Xenopus tropicalis: one gene and its partner. The protein of the gene in region 1 interacts with the protein of each later gene in a pairwise test. Links are inferred from orthologs where the notes say so. Each region holds a gene or a part of one and is shown on either strand. Other genes may lie near its edges.

Evidence for each region.
Region 2: the proteins of chn1 (region 1) and hemk1 interact in binary tests that used the Homo sapiens proteins (3 or more experiments, as listed by UniProt). The two-hybrid records come from large-scale screens. The link is inferred for Xenopus tropicalis from reciprocal best matches to the Homo sapiens genes CHN1 and HEMK1.

Annotation. Positions count from the first base shown.
Region 1 is NC_030685.2:64,274,009-64,285,269, forward strand, and holds the end of chn1 (N-chimaerin), read right to left. Parts: intron 9,413-11,261; coding exon 9,239-9,412; intron 8,357-9,238; coding exon 8,279-8,356; intron 7,368-8,278; coding exon 7,230-7,367; intron 6,001-7,229; coding exon 5,895-6,000; intron 4,795-5,894; coding exon 4,623-4,794; 3' UTR 3,992-4,622; downstream 1-3,991. UniProt on the Homo sapiens protein: GTPase-activating protein for p21-rac and a phorbol ester receptor. Involved in the assembly of neuronal locomotor circuits as a direct effector of EPHA4 in axon guidance.
Region 2 is NC_030680.2:127,605,980-127,618,286, forward strand, and holds part of hemk1 (MTRF1L release factor glutamine methyltransferase), read right to left. Parts: intron 11,861-12,307; 5' UTR 11,852-11,860; coding exon 11,651-11,851; intron 9,844-11,650; coding exon 9,752-9,843; intron 6,446-9,751; coding exon 6,352-6,445; intron 5,981-6,351; coding exon 5,858-5,980; intron 5,121-5,857; coding exon 5,056-5,120; intron 2,310-5,055; coding exon 2,260-2,309; intron 2,140-2,259; coding exon 2,034-2,139; intron 1,956-2,033; coding exon 1,860-1,955; intron 1,757-1,859; coding exon 1,643-1,756; intron 1,227-1,642; coding exon 1,196-1,226; 3' UTR 1-1,195. UniProt on the Homo sapiens protein: N5-glutamine methyltransferase responsible for the methylation of the glutamine residue in the universally conserved GGQ motif of the mitochondrial translation release factors MTRF1, MTRF1L, MRPL58/ICT1 and MTRFR.

The DNA of each region.
Region 1 (11,261 bases):
GGTATTACAAGGGGTAAGGGGTATTGAAAAAGGTATTTTAAAAAATCCAAAATTATTTCTTCAATATGCAAATAGTAAAGAATGAAACGACAAGGGGTGGGACCCTTATTATCTCGGGGTCAGTTGGTTGATGAGAACAAAGAAAAAGCAGAAATTCTGAATTCTTATTTTTCTTCCGGCTACACAACTGAGGAGCCAGCTAATGACGGTTTCCCTTTTAATAGACCCAATTCTAGTAATATAACTACTGATGCATGGGTCGCTCAGGAGGAAATTCAAAAGAGACTTGAACATGTAAAGGTAACAAAAGGTCCGGGACATAGGAATAAGGTTCAGGGTATTAAATGAGCTGAGCGCTGTGATTGCCAAACCCCTTTACTTAATTTTTCAGGATTCATTGAGGTTTGGCATGGTGACGAGAGACTGGCGGATTGCTAATGTGGTGCCGTTATTCAAAAAGGAATCCTGTTCTCAGCCTGAAAACTATAGGCCTGTTAGTCTGACACCAGTAGTAGGAAAGCTTCTGGAAGGGGTAATAAGGGATAGGGTACTTGAATACATTGCAAATCACAATATTCTAAGTTTGTGCCTGCATGGTTTTATACGTAACAAATCTTGCCAGACTAATTTAGTTGCCTTTTATGAGGAGGTGAGCAGGAACCTTAACGCTGGGATGGCAATGGATGTCATCTACTTGGACTTTGCTAAAGTGTTTGATACAGTACCTTTACAGAAAGTTAATGAGGGGCTAGGGGTGCCACTGGCCACTGCAAGGAGCAGAGGGAGCCGTAACCAAGTGAGGAGTCACCCAGACAAATGTTGAACACTCACGTGAAAGGTCACACAGAGAAAAGGTCTCTCAGAGTGGGGCACAGGGCAGAAAGGCTGCCTGACTGTGTGAGGAACTCCCAGAGGGGCTGGGGGTATTGCCTGCCACTGCAAGGAGCAGAGGGAGCCATGACCATGTGTTGAGTGGCTTGGTGGGAAGCCAAAGTGTGCCAGAAACTGGTGAGCTGGTATCTCAGGAGGGGAGAGACAGCAGGGCTGAGTGAGTAGCCCGAGTATTCACGAGTGTGAGAGTCACTTTGGATGTGTGAAAACCATTGGGGATGTCGAGAATCCCCAGGGAAAGGTTCCAGAGTGTGAGAATTACCCTGGAAGCCCTGAAGAAGGGACAAATCATAACCATGTTTGCTGATGAACTGTGACATGTTTATGTTGGGAGAAGTGTGCCCCAAATAAACATCCAACATTTTGCTCTAGTAGGTAACTAGCAGATATGTAATGAAGATAACTGAGGACAGAAATCAGAAGTCATTATAAACCTACCTGGGTGAAGACCCTGGTTTCCCAAGGTATTCAATGTAGCAGTTCTTCCACCTTCCTAACTGTCATCACAGCTGAGAATTTAAGTTAGGGGCCTCTCATATGGCCCAACTTAGATAAGTGAAAGCTGGCAGCATTGAGATCAAATAACTAAACATGAAGGTCCAAATTATAAAGATTAATCAACATTGCTAGTGGAAAGTATGATATTCCTCAGTTTCTTAAAATATGTGAAACTGAGGAATATCTGTAAATTGGTGTATGTGAATCAGTACTCATGCAAATGATTGTTGTGGAATTTCTTTAAAAGAAAAATAAAGTCAAAGTCACTTGGGGGTGCCAAAATGTTAGGCACCCCCAAGTGACTTTGACCGCCTACCTTTTACCCCGGGCTGGTGCCCCTGTGAGGAAGGAACAGCACCAGCCCGGGGTAGCTGCCGGCGCTTCCTTTTCCTGATTCGCTGCGCGCGCATGCGCAGTAGAGTGAAAAGCCGAACTTAAATGTTAAAGTCGGCTTTTCACTCTACTGCGCATGCGCCCACCGCTGGCACTCAGGAAAAGGAAGCGAGGAAGACGGAAGCGCTGCGCTCCAGGTGCCCCGGGCTGGTGCTGTTTTCTCCTAACAGGGGCACCAGCCCGGGGTACGAGGTAAGCGGTTAAAGTCACTTGGGGGTGCCTAACATTTTGGCACCCCCAAGTGACTTTGACTTTCGTTTCCCTTTAAGAGTACATGGACAATGGTTTAAGGGCAGCAACTCTGAAAGACCAAGTTTCAGCCCTATCAACTCTCCATGGAGTGGCCTGGGTGGCTATACAATTAGTAGCAGTATTTTGGACACTAAGGGGCTGATTTACTAACCCACGAATCCGACCCGAATTGGAAAAGTTCCGACTTGAAAACGAACAAAACTTAACGCTATGAAAAATGCGCAACTTTTCGCGTAAGTTTTAACGCTACGCAAAATGCGCAACTTTTTATGCAACTTTCGTAATGGATAGGAAAACTCGCGTTTTTACGCAAAAATCGTATTGGATCCGAAAAATTCGTAAAGAATCCGAAAAAATCGCAAAACATACGAAAAAATCGCAAAGTACCGATCATTACGAAAAAAACGCAATCGGACTCCATTCGACCCGTTCGTGGGTAAGTAAATCAGCCCCTAAGAATAAGAATTTGGAGCAGAAACGCTAATGTATACATTTTTGCAGAAAATGAGCTGTGTGCCATTAGCTAGTAGGAAAGGCTAGTAAAGAGTTAATCTCAAGCTGCAGGCATACCTTCAGTTGTCTCAATAGTGCCCTTAAAGGTGGCCATACACGGGCCGACTATAGCTGCCGATATCGGTCCCTTGGACCGATTCGGCAGCTAATCGGCCCGTGTATGGGGAGAGCAGATCGGCCTGGCCGACCGATATCTGGCCTGAAATTGGCCAGATCTCGATCGGCCAGGTTAGAAAATCTGGTCGGATCGGGGACCGCATCAACGAGCCGATCCGACTGCCCCATTGCCGCCCACATAATCCGATCGTCTGGCCCCAGGGCCAAACGATCGGATTATTATTTTTTTTACCTAAATGGTCCCCGATATCGCCCACCCGTAGGTGGGGATATCGGGGGAAGATCCGCTCGCTTGGCGACATCGCCAAGCGAGCGGATCTGCTGGTGTATGGCCAGCTTAAGTCCCATATTTCTCCTGTTCAGATGACCAGAAGCCAAACAGGAAGAAAAAACGCTGAGCTGTGTAAAGAAAGTTCCCATAATGCCTCACTCTTGCACAGACACCCAGACCAGTGTACATGCTTAGTTTGTAAGACTATGAGTCAGCGTCCTGCTGATTGGCTCAGATCCACATTCCTAAGGGGGGGAGGGAGTTCTTAGCATTCTTGAGGGAGGGGGGAGCAGGAGAGGGGAGAGAGCTGTGTGTCTCTGGCACAGGAAGTCAGTGCAGCGTTTCTGTGAGTGCTTATGGCTGTATTTACATAGACCTTTCTGATAAAGCTTACTTTTTAGCTTTCTTTCTCCTTTAAGGCCACACTACCAGAGTTGTAACTGCAGATCAGATGTTTAAGACCCACATTTTCATAGAAGTCTAAAGAGCAGCAGTGTTTAAATATTTTTTTAAAACATTTTCTCTAAACAAGATGCACTCTATGGCCAAAGGTATCCAGACATCTGCATGTTCAGTAATATGTAGTCAGTCCATTGTAGGTGCTGTTTCCTACCATTCAGCCAAAGAGATTTAGTGAGGATGGGCACTGATGTTGGGAATCAGGCTAAGGTGACAGTAGGCATTTCAGTTCATCCCACGGGTATTCATTTGGCTTGAGGTCAGGCCTCTGTACAGTTTAAACAAGTTCTACCACTCCTATCGCAACAAACCCAACTCTGAATGGACCTTGCTTTGTGAATGGGAGATTATTGTGCTGAAACAGGAAAGAATGCATTAAGCCTTCAGCGCAGTCAGGGTGGCCCACCAGGATACCAGGAGATAGCTACAAGATATACTAGAAGATCTTCCACTTCCACAAAGTTCTGCATTGCTATTTGCTCATTTCTAGAGGAAATGGAGACTATTTGGAGACATTTCCCAGACCCCCTGTGCTAAGTGTTGCTGCTATAACAGAACAAGCTTTGCTTAAAGCTAAATAAGACACAGAAGAAAAGGTTTCTAAAACCTAGATTTAATAAATTAATACATGCATGCTGGTTGAAAAATACAAAAATACAATTAAAAAAATAATAATCGTTGCCATTTTAATCACAAGCACCACACGGAAAGGGAATAAAACATTCACAACTCACAGGTTTCCTCTTCCAAACGATACAGAAACTTGGCAAAAAAGAAACAATCATCAAAGCAAGAACAGAAGTGAAATGAGCAAAAAAAGTCATTCATGAGATCAACTCAACGCTGTAATCTGATTGGGCAGAACAGAAAGGCCAAGTTACACGGGGGAGGAAGAAACATGCCGTATTACATTCACTACCCGCTTGGAAAGAGGCTTTTTTTTCCTAGATAGTTTTTGTTTTTCCAAGGAAATCCCCGACAAAAACGGAGAGAATCATGCAATCCTGTGGAAGTGGTTACACTGTAAACACAATGCAGTAATAGTAGAGGAGCTTCCCGATTTATACAATATACATCTGATTGCCACAACAAAAAGCCTGTCCTTTCTGCACGCTGTACACATAGGAAATTAGGGACTCGCCTGGAAACAAACTGCTCGCTATGTTGCAAAACTATCCTTCATTTATTAACGTTATTCATCTCAAAAATGGTTTCTTCCTGATTATATTCAAAATAGAATGTCTTCGTTCTTGATCAGCATCTCCACCACGAGCCGCTGATAACGGATATCATTCAGTGCCGCCATGGCATCTTGTTCCGGGGCTCGCATGAGAGTTGGGCCGAACACAATACCAAGGTTCTCTGCACTCATTAAATTGTCCTTCTCATGTAGAGTCACCCTGTGAGGAGAGACAGTGCATGGGATCAGTGTGACCTATCCGAAGGGCATTCCTGTAATAGCAAATCCCACGCACCCCCTGCTGATAGTTTTGGCTTTTTAATTTCTCAGGGCCTGTCTCATTAATTAAAATGAATGTCACATGACGTGTAGCAAAGGCACAGATTCAGTTCAGTCCAATGGACGCCTGGAGGAACATTGCACAAGGGCAGGACAAACACAGACAAGTTTTAGCTTTTTCAGCCCATGATGCCTTATGGCTGACATTTTATTGGTGATATGATGTGTCACATTTTCATTTTAATTAGAGCAAGTCATTAATGTAATGTGGCTTTGAGTTACAAATTGCTACAACGATGGGAGAGATTTAGGCAGTCATAATACCCTGTAAAAGGACAGTAAACACCCCATTAACTGACAAAAAAGCTAACAAAATATATTAACTGGCTTATGACTGCAAAAACTTAAATTATCAGCTTCTTTTATATTCATAATGGCCTGTGGTTGGATGTGCCAATGGTGTCCTTGGTTTGTCACCTCCAGGGGGTTGTTGCAGCAGGAAACACACACCCAGACACTGCTACACAGCTACATGACTTCTCTCTATCAAATCTATATATATATTCCACTCATGATGAGCAGAAACAAATGTCATTCCAAGTGGGCAAGTACTATGGCCTTCCACTACTGTGTTGTAAATTTCAGGTGTAGGTGTGTGTGTGTGTGTGTGTATAACTGGCCACTAAATGAGTAGAGAAACTTGGAACCCTGGCTACAACTACAGCTATCAGGCAGAATCACACAAGAAAAATGCCTCTGTTTCTCTTATATGGTTCTGAATCAATAAAAGGCTGATAATGACAAGCTTCTGGCCAATTACAGGCTGCCTCTCTACATGCACAGACTGACACTGAGCTCACATCACACCCTGACTGGCAGATTGAGCTAATATCCCAGCTAATGCTCTGTGTGTGCCCATGGCTGTGATGCATGCGTGCCCCCTACAGTAACTGCCTGGCAGAATGGCAATATAACAGTGTATCATTACCATAGGGCTGTGTGAGTATAAACAGAACACACCTACAGTATAAGAGAACTTACCTTTTCAAATGGGCCATGAGATACCGTAGTGTTTCACAGTGAGCTGGAGGCAGCAGCTTCAAAGCGTCATGAAGGGTTTCTAGTTGTGCATCAGGGTCTGGAGCCTCTGGCAGAACAAACATACACAGAGATTACGTTGCATGAAAATAATAAGGAAGATGGTTATTCTAATGATAACCCTACTGTGTGTTGGGCCATGAATTACAAGCAATGCATAGATTGGGCAGGCTGGAGAACCTGGCTATCGGGTGTTCATGAAACCTTAGGAGCTTTTACCCATTATTCAGAAAGCTCTAAAATACAGTAACTAAGAAGCATTTAAAAAGTTGTTTTTTTTAGCCCTAAAGGAGAGCTAAATCCTAAAAGTAAATATGGCTAGAAAGAGCATAATTGATTTACTAAACTGACTGCACTAGCATCTCTATATTAGTAATTATATAGGTCTTTACAGTTGTCACATGAGCAATAAATCTTGGATACTATAAACTGATGCTACAGGTCTGATGATTAAATTCTGATGCAACTGCACTGGTTTCTAAACTGCCATTCAATGTGAATGAATTACTAATCAGCATTATATTGTGACATTTATATTCTGTTTATACAGTATATTGTGAGTGGGTCCCTAAGCTCAGTAAGTGACAGCAGCACAGAGCATGTGCAGTGAACCAGCAGAAAAGAAGATGGGGAGCTACTGGGGCATCTTTAGGGGCACAGATCTTGCCTGCTAAAGGGAATCACTATAATCACTTATATAATGATGTAAAATGATAGTATACCTATAGCAAATGCAAAGACATTATATAAGTGGTCAGATGTGATATTCCTATTCACCACTAGAGGGAGCACATTATGTGACTAATCAAGCCTGTGCTTTAAGGCCAAAAACTACTGTATAGACGTTATGTTTTGGCATAAAATACCTGTAGAACACTGATGCAGAAAGGCCAGGCATAACCCCATTTATTTTTGTATATGCCAGCACTAATATTGCTCTAGTCATGGGATTGCACAGACCACTCCCAGCCCCATATCCTCTCATGTTATCTACAGACATGCACTCTACAATCATTTATTATGTATATATTCATCTGATGTCAGAAACGCCATACTGCGAATGTGCTGACGTGGGACATGCAGAGCAAGTGGGTCATATGGAAGGTTTTATTAACTAAAGTGACATGGAAGGTTATAGTGAACATTGGATTGGCAAAGTACGCCCTGAGCCAAAATAGACATAATTGATAGGGTTAACTTAAAAGCATTGGAAATATGAATCTATATGAATATAAAAAACTGCTTTGCTAACAGCAGGCAGCTCTCATGTGTACTTACTTGCAGACTCTAGGAATTTCGGGTAGGCATCATATGTAATGATTGGGATTGGAAGTTCCCTGAAATATAGTTTCAGTGCACCGGTTATAATGTTGATGTCTTCATATACATTCACAGAAATATCAGCCTTCTCCCCATCTGTAGAAAGGAAATAGAGATGAAATTAATGCTTGCGGTGTATGGTGGAGTATCATGGTGGCTGAATGTCTGCAATTTGAAAGAAATTTTTATGTTGGCAAAAAAACAAAGGTTCCTTCAGGAACACAGAGAATTTAGTTTTATCGCCTATGTACCTTGTACTTACTTATACTAGAAGCTGGCTTAGTATAAATACATGTAATGCTTTTTGGCAGTGGTTGACAACACAGGGGAATTCTCAAGTTCTTCATAATTTATTAGGAATAAGAACTTCTACTTTGCAGCATTTGGGTTCTGAGCTCAGTTCCAGCCTGGGTGCTACCTGCAAGGGGTTTGTATGTTTGTCCTGGGCCAGCTTTGTATAAACAGTGATATAAAGGTATTGGGAGTAGCCTCTGCATCACTCTTGCCTACCTTTAGGCTGCTCCTATAGTAGCTAGAGCAAACAGGGAAGCATGGCTTCCAAATACACACCGTTTCAAACATTCCTCATTGAACATTACTTATATGTTGTGTTTGAAAACGTGTGCATTTGAAAGCTAAGGACAACTGTTAGCCCTAGCTGCAATAAGAGCAGGCTCAAGGAGCCCAGAAGACAGGACCTTTTCCCAATATGGAGGCTGCAATCCTTTACTCTGGGGGAATGTTTGAGGTCACTGTGCAGGCTACCCAAGTAATACAGATCATTTGGAGGGAGTGTTTGGGAGGGGCAGTAGAATTCTGCATTTGTTCAAGGTTAAAGGTTGACCTTCTGTTCATAAAGTCCATAGAGGCAGGCACTAATATAGTGGGGATCCAGGCCAGCTGAGTTTTCATGTCACTTTACATACAGTATTTGCATGGAAGCAAGGGAACACTTGCTGTTTGAGTAGAAATAATGATAGGCCAAAATAAAGTAAAGGTTCTCCTACCTCTGTCAAAAGCCATTTTGGCATCTTCAATTAGATCAGTAAAACCTGATACTCTGTACAATCCTTCTGACGAGAGACCTATAATAAAAGAATATCAGATGGGTGAAACAGCCATTCCATATCCAACTTGCTTATTATCCCACAGTAGAACTCTAATAGCTCATTATAGTGTAGCAGGGCCCTCAGCTTGCTGCTTAAAGGTTACCTTGACCTGTAGTCTCCTTCAGCTTTACCCTCCCTCTCGGTCCCCAGCTACACATCAAGCTATATGTGGCACCTTCCCCTGAGACTGCTGATGCAACGCACTGTATCATTTCCATTCAATAGGCAAGCGCATGGGTATTAAGGTCAAATTATATTGGACATCACTTGGCTAACCCAGAATAGAATCACTTGAGATTTTAAGCAATTAACTTGTTGGCAAATTTCATTTGCAATGTGCCTGTTTTATTTGCATGTGGGATCTTCCATTAGTCCTTCTGACTGACCCTGTTTAATAAATGGCCTACATGTGCACTCTTTCCCATTTTTAAAGGGGTAGTTCACCTTTAAGTTAACTTTTAGTATGTTATACATTGGCCAATTCTTAGCAGCTTTTCAACTGGCCTTTATTTCTTCTTTTTTTTGGCTTCCTCATCTGAATGATTCCAGCTTTAAATGGGGTCTCTGAAGCTGAACAACCCCTTTAATGTAAATTGCAAATTCTGCTCGACAGATCCCAGCTCCTTGGCCCTTTGCCTTGCCTAAAATAATATGCCAATATGCCCTTTGCTAGAGTATTGTAGTGGCTTGGCACAGATGTATTTTCTCTTGATGTTGTATTATAATAATTAAAGCCAAATGCTCTAGGCTGATATTGGATGCAAGGCCCCCCTTCCCCCATGCATGACATCAAAATATTAACTCCAATAATTCATCCTAGAACCAAGCAATAGCCCCAATGTATAAGACAAGTCTCACCTCTAGACTCTATTTCTCTTATACACATATCCACGACCATCGGCCTTTTCGTGTTGTGTGCTTTTACCAATGTGGTCAGATCACAACTGTAAACTTTCTTAACATGCTTCAAGTCTGGCTTGCAGTCATTCGGAACCATCTTGGAACACTGCTTGTGAACATTCAATCCACAGTCTGTAATGAAAATCAGAGATCAAGAACTGAATGCTGGGCAGGAACCAACAATCTTCAGCCAGTTCCATGGTGGATTAAAGTTACATTTAAATAAAATATCTGTTAACAAAGAGCGAGTTTTAGGTTCCCTTTACGATACAAAAAGAGAAATGATGGCTGCATGTAGAAAAATATGGTAGTTAGAAAGGTGGCAAAGAGGTGCCAATGGCAAAAACTTATAGAGACAGGCTGGAAATTGCTAAGGAGTCATAGCAAATGGCTTAATGTTCTTCACCTGAGTGCAATCCCTTATGTTTCTCCCTTGGTTTTTATCCCATGAAAAAGTTGCTGAGAGGAAAACTACACCCCAGAAACCATAGAGTAGGCCAATGCCGTATGGCTCAGAGGTGAGGAGTGACACAAGATAGAACGCACCACAGCAAACAGTTCACTTATCAAACAAAGCAAAACAAAATGCTTGAGATGGCTTGGAAAGCTACGCCACACTTTCCATGACAGATGTGACAAGGCCACTTGGGATCGGCTATCTGGTGCGCTCTAAAGGCTGTCAGAAAGGCACGGCTGCGGGTGTTATATCTGCGCTGCATGAGATATCCCAAACAAGGCAATCAGGAGACTCACTTCATATCTATATTATTCTCACCTATTAAGATTGTCCCTCATTTTGCAGCCTAACAGGGTGCAAAGATCTCACTAGGACATAAAATAAATAGCTAAGCTCTCTGGGATGTGAGGCGTAATACTGATGCGTACAGTGCAGGGTTTCAATAAGTCATGTGCCCAAGTGACATCACTAAGCAGTGTTACAACCAATGACATCACTAAGCAGAGTTATAGGATATAGTGTTCAGGTTATTCATGGTGTATATTTTAAAACTTTATCTCACTGATTATATCTAACTCATTCCAGATAGACATTCCACTCTGAAATTCTCATCCTCCTATTAAAGGCTATTCTGACATAACTGAGAATCAGTTTCATTGCAAAGTTCCAGCAGTTTGGGCAACTCCCTTCTTCTCTTCATGCATAAAAGAGTTATGGCCATACCTGGGCTAATAAATTATTCAGAGCTGGAATTTGGGGTAGGCAGAGAAAGCATTCGGCTAATGCTCTAAAAGGGGGTGCAAAATAAAAAAAAATGATTAAATTGTCCCTTCATTTTTGTTGCCCTAAGCCCACCCTGTATGTAAGTTTCTAAATGGGCGATCAGGACAAGGCTACAGGTGAAGGAAGGGTGAACATGAGAGGGGACTGTAGTGGCAAATGGGTGGGAATTGATGGAATAGGAGAAGACAAAAGGTACTTGCCTTGGGTGCTAGTACCTCTTGGATTGGCTCTCTCCATGCCAAGCCAGCAGCTTATTGGTCTGGCAGGCACCCAAGATAAGGGCGAAAATTGGGCAGATATCTATCATCTAGTTTCAAAATCCTGATGGGGAAGAACAACCTTGGCGTGCAGGTCTCTCCCAGCATGTCCGTATTAAAATCTGATTTGGGGGCTAAACGACTGGATCAGCTCAATACAGCAAGGATCCACTACTTAATTGGCAACCTCAGCAAGGAGATCTATTAGTGTATGGCCAGCTTTAAGCCAGTCACATCCCTACAGCAGAAAACCTGACATATTATAAGAGATCATTCTGGGGGTTACAGCAGACTGCAGTCATTTTTTTTTACTTTTATGATAATGATGCAATAACGTCAATAAAGTTCTAATAATGACCATAGTGGGGACTGAAGATATCTGTGTAGTTACCTACTGGACACCAGAGAGCTATAATGATATTCTCTGGGGCTTTTATGTCTGGAATATAGAACAGGGACTCGCTGTGCCTTAAAAATTTACTTT
Region 2 (12,307 bases), on another chromosome or scaffold:
CATTATGCACCTCCTTATTAGCCCAGTCTGGCATGGCCATGAGAACCGCAGACACACATATAATAAAGATAAGAGCACACCACTTCCACAGAAGCAGACAGATTGCCCATATCAGGAGACAAACTGGCATATGCTAGTCACTTACCCTGGTTCCTCAAGTGAGACATGCACACTGATTTGTAATCGTTTGGTTAAAGGGTGTAGTTCACCTTTTAATTAACTGTTTGTACATCATACTAAGTGAATATCACTGTTCAGCAGTTGGGAGCTGTAGCGGCTACAATAAAACAGGAAAGGGCAACTGCCGATTCTAATTTTGTTTGGACAGACTGGCTGCTTCCTACTATAAATCTCTTTATACAATAGACTTTAGCAACCTGGGTCTCTGCAGTTAATATTAAACTACAACAACTGTCAGGTTGCCCATTGGAGGTTTTCACATTAAACTGGGAAGCACCACAAGAGCATGCCCTCGTTGGTACTGGTGAGAAAGTCACCCAAGTAACATTCTATTTCTGGGTAAGAAATAATCTTGGTGATTTATCTTTTAACAGAGGTTTCTCACTGTCCCTGCTTTCAGCTTATGTTCCTTGCTGTGCTGCATTCTGTAATATCTGCCCAGACTCATTGCTGTGTCAGCGCTTCCTCCCAGGAGCATGAGTGATGCAGTATGGAGTGTTCCGCCCTGGGTACATTTTGTACAGAGCTCCAGCAATGAGCCATTATCAAATAATTCTTGAAATAGCTCCAGTAGAGGAGCAGAAGGACAGCCTTTTCCAATGATTTATGCTGTTGCGTCACTCATATATTGGTATGTGTGCCGCCTATTTAACCATGTACCACCGGTCTGCCATAATAAAGCCTACAAGAAGTAATAGGCAATGATGAGCCATTTTCCTCCTGATTACAGCAGAGATCAAAATACCCCACGTGCCATTAGCCTAAAGCTGCCATGGCAGTTGTATCTTTGACCCTGCTAATTATTCCCATTAATGGGTCCAAATCCTACACTGGGATTTGCACAGGGTCTCAGTTTATCCAGCAAGCAGTCATTGTGTAATATGGGGCCATCCTGAGCCTACTTGTCTAACAAATCCAACCCACTACTGAAAGAATTGCACCATCCTTGTTTGGATATGCAGGGAATCAGGGAATTCAGTTTATGTATCATGGCAGGAACCGTATGAAGCGAGGTTCAGTCTCTGCGTAAATGTACAAACCTCGACCTGTGGAAAAAACAAAGCTTTAGAATAGGATACAGATGTAGGAAGTACAATGATGGTGGATTTGCTGTCTTGGACATCACAAGTATGATTTCAGGGTGATGTTTAAGCTATGGTTTCATATATCTGTGGCCTTCTTATTACAGCTGCATAGCCTTGTCCAATTTGTACCTGTAAACAGGGGAATTTAACTAAGAAACTCTGAAACCACTGTTCTAAAGAGGAATATTGTGTGAAACACAATACTGTGCCAATGAATTGTACTCATCTAAATATTGAAGAATACAATTCATTAGTTAATCCTGCATGCCTCCTGTAAAGTATAACTGCATACAGGTAAGATAGAAAGTAATAATAAAGCTTGAAGGGAGTAATAGTGCCCAGGTACTCATGAAAAACAGATTGGAGCACTGCAGTACCTGCCACAGAAGTCTTGTACAGTACTAATGTACTGAAGGTGCGTATCAGTGTGGTCTTGAATCCATAGCTTTATTCTCTCTGGGTGACTGGGATCAACCTCTAGAAAAATATCCCTGTTAAAACAGAGGGAGACAGCATGAGGGAACTGCTGGGCCATACACGTGTTCTTACACAAAGTGAAAAGCTTCAGCCCAGACTTGAATGAAAACTACATACCCACCAGGCTTCAGAAGCCGAGGTGCGAAAGACAGTATTCCCCTTATTACATCCATGCCATCAGGACCCCCATCTAATGCTGCATGGTCCTCATATCTGAAAGGGAGAAATGGAGTGTAACCAGCAGACTGTGCGGAGCCTGGTGTTCTGGCCAGGAGACTGTACAATACTTACTTAACAATCTCTGGATCAAGTTGAGAGATATCAGATGTGGATATGTAAGGGGGATTGCTGACCAAAACATCCACAGGGCCCCACATGAGGAGAGGATCTGGTGGATCTGAAGAAGAAGATTGTAAGAAACCCCACATACCAATTGTTATGGTGGGAAGAACAGAGTCACAATGTATGGTGGGAAAAACATGATGGAGAAGAGGACAGAAAGACACAAATGTTTTACCTGCTAAAATATCAAGCAGCAGAACTTGGATTTGGTTTTGGAGGCCCAAACTAGAGACAGAAATGAAAGAGTTAGGCTTCAGCAAACATTTCCAATATTTTTTTTTCTATACTCATTTCCTCCCCAGAATTCGCCAGAAACCTCATAAACCATTGCCTGGAACTCCTTCTCATTACATTATCACACCTTGTCCCTTCCATGCTTCCTATTGCTCAATAAAAAATATTCTGCTATTTCATACAGCGGCTTACTATAGATTATTGCGCTTATTGCTCCACAAAGCCACTTCCTCTGTTCTCTACTAGCCTTTTTTATTTCTCCATATGGTTCATTCTTAGAAGTACTTAACTTGATCCACAGAACTGGTTCCTAGAACTCCTTCCTTTACATCTGCATTCCTCTCACCAGGAATATTGCCACATGCTGCTCATTAAAGGATTATACTCCCCCTACCTCTCTCACTGCTGGAGAGCCTCTCGGCTTAGCCTTTTGGTTAGCTACGTTCACTGGCTACACAGTTTTGCTTGGTGAATAACTTAACTTATTTTATGTGGAGAGTAGGAAACCTATGTCCATTAGTAATTAAAAAAATATAGCAGTGTAAAAAGAGGAAAAGCAGAAAGTGCTTCCTCCCATAGAGAAGAGAGAAAGGCAAAGTTGGATCATATGAAAACCCCAAACTGTAAGTATGTGCAGTCAGAAAAGATGCTTTGGAAATGTAACACCTGATTAGCCTTGAAGGAATAATCTTGGGAGAAGAAATTAATCTAAAACATATAGGGGGGAATTCACAAAAATGTCAGCCACTATCGACAATTGTCAAACCTTTTTAACAGATATTTTTTACACCGAAATGTTTCACCATGCTAAAAATGTTGGGAAAAAAAATATGTTAAGGGTTTAATTTGGCTTAAGTTTGTATAGAAATTTTTTTTTTTAGCACACAAATAACATTTTCACTGCGTCTCGGTGCTGAAATCCACTCTGTGTGCCTGCAACAAGGCTAAATGTAATGGCTCTGGGTGCAGGCACAGGGGAAGGCGGATTTTTGGCCTGCGTTTATCCACAAGTCGAGAATCAGCCCCGTGTGACATTAGCCTTAAACAATAATATAAATCCTGATTTAAAGTCTAACCAGAGCCCAGATGCCCCTATCCATGCCTCCTTATTAATGACCAAATTCATTAAGGGTAGATACAAGTGTGAGAGCAGGCAAACTTGTCTAACCCACCTGGCCATAAACAGAATACCTCTTGTTTACACAAGTTCAATAAGTTATAAATGAATAACTGTATCAGTGCTATACAAATAAAAGGACAATAATAAAAATGACTCCTCTGTGCATCGATTTCAAGTATAAGCAGCTCCAAATACATAATGAGATGCACCAATTTTCTGTACTTTGCACTTTACCTTCCACCCATTTTTTAAATGAGCCGTAACAGTCTCGTCTTTGTAAAGTATTGGCACAAGGGGGAATTTCTAGTGTTTTTTAACTGCATTTTTGGCAAGGGTTACAAACGCAAAGACAAAACGCTAGAAAAAATGTGTGAGACAATTCTACGAGATCCTCCTTAGTGGTAACCAAGGCCCAGGGCTATAACCTTTGTGTGCGAGATAATTCCTAGCATATTATAAAAGCTGTCTAACGGCTAAATACAGTCTTAATTTGCACCTATGCTACTCATCTCATGCAGAACAACATTCTTCCTCTCAAAAAACTAAAATACTGGAGAGCAGCACACTTTCTCTGTTACTCACTCCCACCTCTTAAGGTTTATGCAAACTCCAAAAAAAACCACTAGACCTATAACACTAAATCTTTCTGTCCATGATTGTGGCACCATCACCATTTCACTTCGCCACGTGCTGGGCAGTACTGAGATGGTGCGGCTCAGTGCAGCAATGCAGTATGCCATAGTCTTTATTTTCTTGGAGGACTGCTTTACACGCTTTCCCCCCCGCTTATGTATAAGGCACAAGGTAATAATAATGCAGTAGAAAGTTACTGAACCCTTTGTGGATGTGCTCTCTGCAGCACTTTGCATGCTATTTACAAAAGTACAATTTCAGCTGTTCCCTAACATTCCTTTTGTTTCACCTGTCCCTGCTTGTGTTTCCCCTTTAATAAGCAGGGATGTCCCATAATTACAGGAAACCATTTCTTTTTTCATTGTACAAAGCTCTGGGAGATGCATAGCAAGTGTAACAAAAATAATAAAGGTAATACAGGTATGGGATCCCTTATCCGGAAACCCGTTATCCAGAAAGTTCCAAATTACTGAAAGGTCATCTTCCATAGACTCAATTATAAGCATATAATTCTATTTTTTTCCCCTGTAATAATAAAACAGTACCTTGTACTTGATCCCAACTAATTAATCCTTATTGAAGGCTAAACCATCCTATTGGGTTTATTCAATATTTAAAAGATTTTTAGCAGACTTAAATTATGGAGATCCAAATTACAGAAAGATCCCTTATCCGGAAAACCCCAGGTCCCGAGCATTCGGGATAATGGGTATTATACCTGTACATTGAATGTTAATCCTTCTAATGCTCCATAAAACTTCCATAGTTCTTCATTACTTGGCCTAGATGCTTCCTGTTAAGTGGTAAGCACTCCTAAACCCACTGCTAGACATCACCACTCCCTGCAGTTGTTCCAGTCCCTCATTCTTTTCCCAGTACACTGTAGCTTCTGTCTTTGACATACTCTGTCATCCCAGTTTTATGTAAATACTGATAGGTTTTTATTTTTTTATAAAAGTTTACTACAGCTGCTTTAACTCTTACCTTACTGCATTGTCCTCAGTCAGTTTGACAGCTGCTTTAGTTTTATCAATTGCTGTTATGCGAGCCTGCAAACAGGAGAAGATTTTTAGGCAAAAATGGACACACAGTTTCATGGAAAAAGCCAATCCATGTAAAGACACATGAATGATGCAGAGGAAACCTGAAGCTACTGCCACTACCACCAGCCTTAAAGGATAAGTAAACCTTTACAAATAAGCTGATGTAAAATTATGAGAGTGCATCTTTACATATTTTTTTTTTTTTAATTTCAAGATATTAAGGGTTAAAAGGACTGTTAATATGAATACATTTTGTTACAACATCGACACCTGCTGGTCACTTTCCAAACATGAAGTAGTTGAGGAAGTTGTCCAGAGAAAGAGGGATGTTCTTCTGGTTAGGAAGTTGTCTGAGGTTTCTATTGTCTTTCCTAAGCAGAAGAACATTAGATCAGCCCTTTTTCCTATAAGCTATAGCAGGATGACTGACACAACTATATATATATATATATATATATATATATATATATATATACCTGTAACCTTCTCATATATCTATATCCTTGTTAGAAGAAGCTCTGAGCAGATACTGCCCCTCAAATGGGGCAAAAAAACATCTGGAAACCACTGTAGCTTTCTTATGGAATTCCCCATGTTCAAAGCACTGAGAAGAGTATCCATAGGGAACATAAATGTAAAACTCAAGACATGTCTACTATCTCCCTAGACAGGACTATCTAAAGTCCTTCATTTTTAGCAAATGTAAGCTTTACAAGATCCAGAGCTCAACCACACTTTGTTACCTGAGGAAGTCTCTGTAGTAACGACAAAGACACAGCCCCTGAACCACATCCCACCTCCAGAACTAGAGGCTCTGCGGAACACTGCAACCTTCTGCTTGCTCCCAGGACAAGGCCGACCAGTTCCTGAAACAAAAGGCTTAAAAGTCAGTTCACTGTTATGTAGGAGGGACTATATATCTTTGGTCTTGTAATTGATTCAGTATTTATAGACATAAATGTGCACTGTAAATATAAACTAAAGAAGCACTGTGTGTGTATGGCTTGGGGTGCCATATGTCTGTGTTACAGAGAACACACGGCTGCCTATTTGTCCCTTTAGGTTGAAGTAATTTCAGGGCTCTGCTGTTACAATGGTTTCAATTTAATGTATCATATTCCAATTATCTTTTTCTACTGAATTATCCTCAATACCCTTTCTATAACATTAACAGGAAGTCTCACTAAATATTCATGTACTTTAAACATAAGGTTATAATGGCATCGTGCTTTCATACCTCTGTCTCAGGCCTTGGAATGAATACAGGAGGTCTCATTTGTAAAGTTATATCCAAGAAATCCCACTCCCCAATAACGTACTGAATAGGGACCCTGGAAAGGAATGATCAGAAATAAAAATGAGCCAACAATGATGTAAGCAAATGCATGCTGATGTACGGCCAGTGTTTAAAATAGGAATCTTCTAAATAAGCAATATTTGGATAATCCAATTCCCATGCTGATGGTTTAGGACGTGTGCGCCTAGGTCTCCTGTGAGTCTACCTTATAACATTAACAATTTCAGAAAACTGTGCCAAGCAAGCAATGCTTTAGGGTACATACCTAAAGACGTTTCTACTTGCTTCTTACATATGATACCTAGGGGGATTATATATTTACGCTGAATGCAGGAAAAATTTATGTAAACCATTTGCGGATTGATATCCACTCCCTTGGGTAGAGACCCAAAGGGCACAATGACGTCAATTAACATACGCATCTGTGGGGGTGCATGAAAATTAATTGCACATCAAAAACAAGTTGGATTGCCTGTTAGTCCCCAAATTAGACTCCCTGCAGAGTGCATGGCTACCATAACAACTAATTCTTATACTATGCTACTGTATAAGACACATGGTTTCTGTAACACTAATACAGAAGAGATCATTTCATATGGCTGAAGAAGAGGCAACACAAGGCAAAACTGCCTCAGTGCAGTAACCAAGTGCAAGCAACCAATCTAGTTAGTTGCTTAAGAGCCCGCCACATTTTGGATGGAGCAGTTGCCATTATGTATGTATACACCTATTTATATACGGTTACTTGAACACACAACTCTGTGCATTCAACAATATATAATAATTAATAGATCAATAGGGAAGATACAACAAAGGAACATACAGTGGAGGAAATAATTATTTGACCCCTCACTGATTTTGTAAGTTTGTCCAATGACAAAGAAATGAAAAGTCTCAGAACAGTATCATTTCAATGGTAGGTTTATTTTAACAGTGGCAGATAGCACATCAAAAGGAAAATCGAAAAAATAACTTTAAATAAAAGATAGCAACTGATTTGCATTTCATTGAGTGAAATAAGTTTTTGAACCCTCTAACAAAAAAAGACTTAATACTTAGTGGAAAAACCCTTGTTTGCAAGCACAGAGGTCAAACGTTTCTTGTAATTGATGACCAAGTTTGCACACATTTTAGGAGGAATGTTGGTCCCACTCCTCTTTGCAGATCATCTCTAAATCCCTAAGGTTTCGAGGCTGTCTCTGTGCAACTCTGAGCTTGAGCTCCCTCCATAGGTTTTCTATTGGATTAAGGTCCGGAGACTGACTAGGCCACTCCATGACCTTAATGTGCTTCTTCTTGAGCCACTCCTTTGTTGCCTTTGCTGTATGTTTTGGGTCATTGTCGTGCTGGAACACCCATCCACGACCCATTTTCAGTTTCCTGGCAGAGGGAAGGAGGTTGTCGTTCAGGATTTCACGATACATGGCTCCGTCCATTTTCCCGTTAATGCGAATAAGTTGTCCTGTGCCCTTAGCAGAAAAACACCCCCAAAGCAAAATGTTTCCACCCCCATGCTTGACAGTGGGGACGGTGTTTTGGGGTCATAGGCAGCATTTTTCTTCCTCCAAACACAGCGAGTTGAGTTAATGCCAAAGAGCTCTATTTTGGTCTCATCAGACCACAGCACCTTCTCCCAGTCACTCACAGAATCATTCAGGTGTTCATTGGCAAACTTCAGATGGGCCTGCACATGTGCCTTCTTGAGCAGGGGGACCTTGCGAGCCCTGCAGGATTTTAATCCATTGCGGTGTAATGTGTTTCCAATGGTTTTCTTGGTGACTGTGGTCCCTGCTAATTTGAGGTCATTAACTAACTCCTCCCGTGTAGTTCTAGGATGCTTTTTCACCTTTCTCAGAATCATTGACACCCCACGAGGTGAGATCTTGCGTGGAGCCCCAGAGCGAGGTCGATTGATGGTCATTTTGTGCTCCTTCCATTTTCGAACAATCGCACCAACAGTTGTCACCTTCTCTCCCAGCTTCTTGCTAATGGTTTTGTAGCCCATTCCAGCCTTGTGCAGGTCTACAATTTTGTCTCTGACATCCTTGGACAGCTCTTTGGTCTTTCCCATGTTGAAGAGTTTGGAGTCTGCTTGATTGATTGATTCTGTGGACAGGTGTCTTTTATACAGGTGACTAGTTAAGACAGGTGTCCTTAATGAGGTTGACTAATTGAGTAGAAGTGTCTAACCACTCTGTGGGAGCCAGAACTCTTAATGGTTGGTAGGGGTTCAAAAACTTATTTCACTCAATGAAATGCAAATCAGTTGCTATCTTTTATTTAAAGTTATTTTTTCGATTTTCCTTTTGATGTGCTATCTGCCACTGTTAAAATAAACCTACCATTGAAATGATACTGTTCTGAGACTTTTCATTTCTTTGTCATTGGACAAACTTACAAAATCAGTGAGGGGTCAAATAATTATTTCCTCCACTGTAAATTACATTCAAGGCTTAGGAGCTGGTTTATAAATATTCTGTAAATTTTACTAAGAGTTAATTTTTTATTTTTTTTTTAAATTTGCTCCCTAGTACCAAGCATTAAGAAACAAAAGAGAAAGGAAGACCCTCCCCAACAGATCGTGCAATCTAAGTTCTGAACAGACCTGTGGCTCAGTGAGTAGCATGCCTGCCTTGCAGCGCTGGGGTCCTAATTTCAATCCCAGGCAGGGCACTATCTGCAAGGAGTTTATGTTCTCCCCATGTCTGTGTGGGTTTCCTCAGGGTACTCCAGTATCCAAAACATACAGGCAGGTTAATTGGCTTCTGACTAAATGGACCATAATGTGCGTAAATGTGATAGGGAACTTAGATTGTAAGCAGGGACTGGTGTGAATGATGTATAATCTCTGTACAGCGCTGCGGAAATGTGTTAGCTATATAAATGGAAATAATATGTTATAGTGACCCCCATAGCATTATAAATGTATTGTATTGTTGGGGGCAGAGAAAACGGTTGCCTAAACGTGGCCATACACGTAGCAATTCTGATCTTTCCTGTGACCATCATGTCCCCCACTGACATTCAGGGCTGAATTGTCAGATGTGGAGGAAGAAACAATAGGAATTCTACCTCCACCTTCTGATTCAGCACCTTCAATGACGCCCAATCAAAATCTTTTAACCCGGCCGGTCAACAGATATCCGCTGCCTTTGCGATATTGGTCGTCTTGTCGATCTTCCATACACGCACCTCGTTTTGTACAATACCAATGGTGTGCGTGTATGGCCAGCTTAAGGCATTACACAATTTTGATTTAGGAAACAGTTACAGTTACTGTTCCCCTGGTAAAAAAGTGTTACGTGGTCATGTGTCACTCTGCAATTGAGTCTTTCCCTACCTCTTTAAACGCTGCTGGGCCATGCTCTCTATGTGCCGTAGTTGAGCTACAGAGACAGAAGTGTGAGCAACTGAAGGAGGGAGACTTGGAAACTGCAAGAAAGAGAGTAAATACAAACCATTTACAAAGAAATACTGTTCATGAAGCATTCCAAAAGAGAGCATAAGGAGGCATGGAATACATGCAAACAAACTCGCTGACTGGTTATTCGGTAGGGGCCACAATGTACCTGCCCAAGGGTCACATGCTCAGTGTGTGCAAATGTCAGAAGTACAAAATAAATTTTATATATATCTGTAGCAAGAGATATGGTATTCTACAAAGCAGCTTATAGAGCAATGCAACCTCACATTTAACCTAATCACTAGCCTTGCTGCATGTGGATTTTATGGGTATCTGATTTTAATTTTTTTCAGTTTAAAACGGATTGCCCTGAAAAACACAAACTCCATGGTTAATTATTGATTTCTTCAGCTGCTAGAAAGCAATAAAGTCTGCAGCATTCATTAGGACTGGCTGGTAATCAGCTACCCAGTATGAGCTCAAATTCAGAAACGGATTCTTTGCAACTGTGTCTGTAGAGACCCTCTCCTACTCATCTTCCAGTCTGGCTTCCAATCCAGTGCCTGGTTGCTAGGACAACTGGGACCCCAGTCACATAGAAGCTGAAATGAAATACTGGGAAACTGCAGGACAAAATGTTAATTCAAGCACCCTCAGGAAAATAAATAATTTTCTATGTTTTATAAAAGTTTAATTTTAAAAGAGACAAATTGCCTATAAAACAAGAATGTGCCATATGTGCTTTATAAAAAAAAAATATGTATATTATATTGTATATATGGGTTTTGGGCTGGTTTATTTGAAATTTCTCCCTATTAATTCCACTTATCTGTTATCTGAGTTCAGCTGGTTGCTGAAGGCTGTACAGGGACGTAATCCATTATCTGTAAATTATCCAGAAAAAAGGCCATCCCGCATAGACTCCATTTTCATCAAGTAATTTTGATCCCAACTAAGATATAATTAATCCTTACTGGAAGCAAGACAATTCTGCTGGGTTTATTTAAAGTTAAAACAATTTTTAGTAGACTTAAGGCATGGAGATCCAAAGTATGGAAAGATCCCTTATCCAGAAAACCCCAGGTCCCGAGCATTTTGGATAACAGGTCCCATATATGTACTGGTTTCTGTGCAGCAATGTGGTGTGCAGATTTATACTGAATTGGCTGTGCAACATAAATACTTGGTGTTCACTTTAAATGGAATAATTTGGCATTCTATAGTTCTAAACCAGTCACCTGTGTAAGTCACATGCCGCAGGGCTTATTGGAATTAGTTCAGATGTGCAAAGCACAGCTGCAGAGAAATCCGTGCAGTCACCAGTGTGCATTGGAACAATTAATCATAATCCCTGCAGCACAGTTCAAAATAAGTGTTTGCTTCTGCACTGATTAGTAACACTGACCCTTTCTTATTATTTAAAGTAATTATATACAATACATAGAAAAAAAATGCATTTTCTTCACCGGATACTAAGCATAACTCCCTCCATACTGCTGATATACATTAGCGTAAAGCAGGCTGTGCATTTGCTGTGCCTCAATAGAAAAAAAAGATATGTAAAAAATGTTGGGCCTATCTATGGAGGCACAGGTCTTCATTGCTAGCTGGTAAATTAAGAAACAATATATGAAGCCTAATTCTTTGTTAATAGCTAGCCTTTAAATGGAAAGTATATTAACCCTTTAAAAACACTTTAAGGAAGCTATTAGAATGAGTGACTGGTAATACAGAGGATTCATTTGGAGTTTCTTAGCTCAGTGTTAGCTTTGCTTTAGCAGATATAGAAACTCATGCTGATGCTTAGGGACGTGCATGTCTGACTGTCCAACTCACGGTTTTGGATCCCAGGGCATGTGCTATAAGTATCTCACTGGATTCCTGAGGCTCCGGCACTCCATGATCATGAAATATGCTCTGCCAGTGACGAACAAGCTTGCTTGGACTCATTTCACCACCACCCAGCCATCGACATGGCAGCCAAGTGGGACTGACACTTTGGAGAAGTCTGCGTAAGAGGAGAGTTTGCAAGTACATGATTTGTGCCTGAAAAACCACAGAAAAGTGCAGTTAAGAAGGGCGTTCAAGTTGAACATATCCGTATCAGCTGTAGATATAAGTTCTGATTAGCAGTGTGGTAAAGCCTGGGGTGTAGCTGATATTGTTATAGGGGGAAAAAAGATGATGCATTTTTTCTGCCTTATACCCATATGGTACCAATGCTGACTTTACTGATCAAATCAACAGTCCGTTGGTCCACTGTATAGCATTAAATCAATCCAATTTAGGGCACAGCTGATGGGGGGGCAAAAGTGGGCATTAAAACATATTTGACATTAAATTTGCATTTACACTAGAGAATCTTCAAATGACGATTTTGTAATGCCACCCTATGCCAAAATGTTTTTTATTTTATTTGAAAATTATTTACATTTACTTTTGCCAAAAAGTTGGAGTAAAGCAATTTTGCCAATTTAACTCTCACTGAATTTA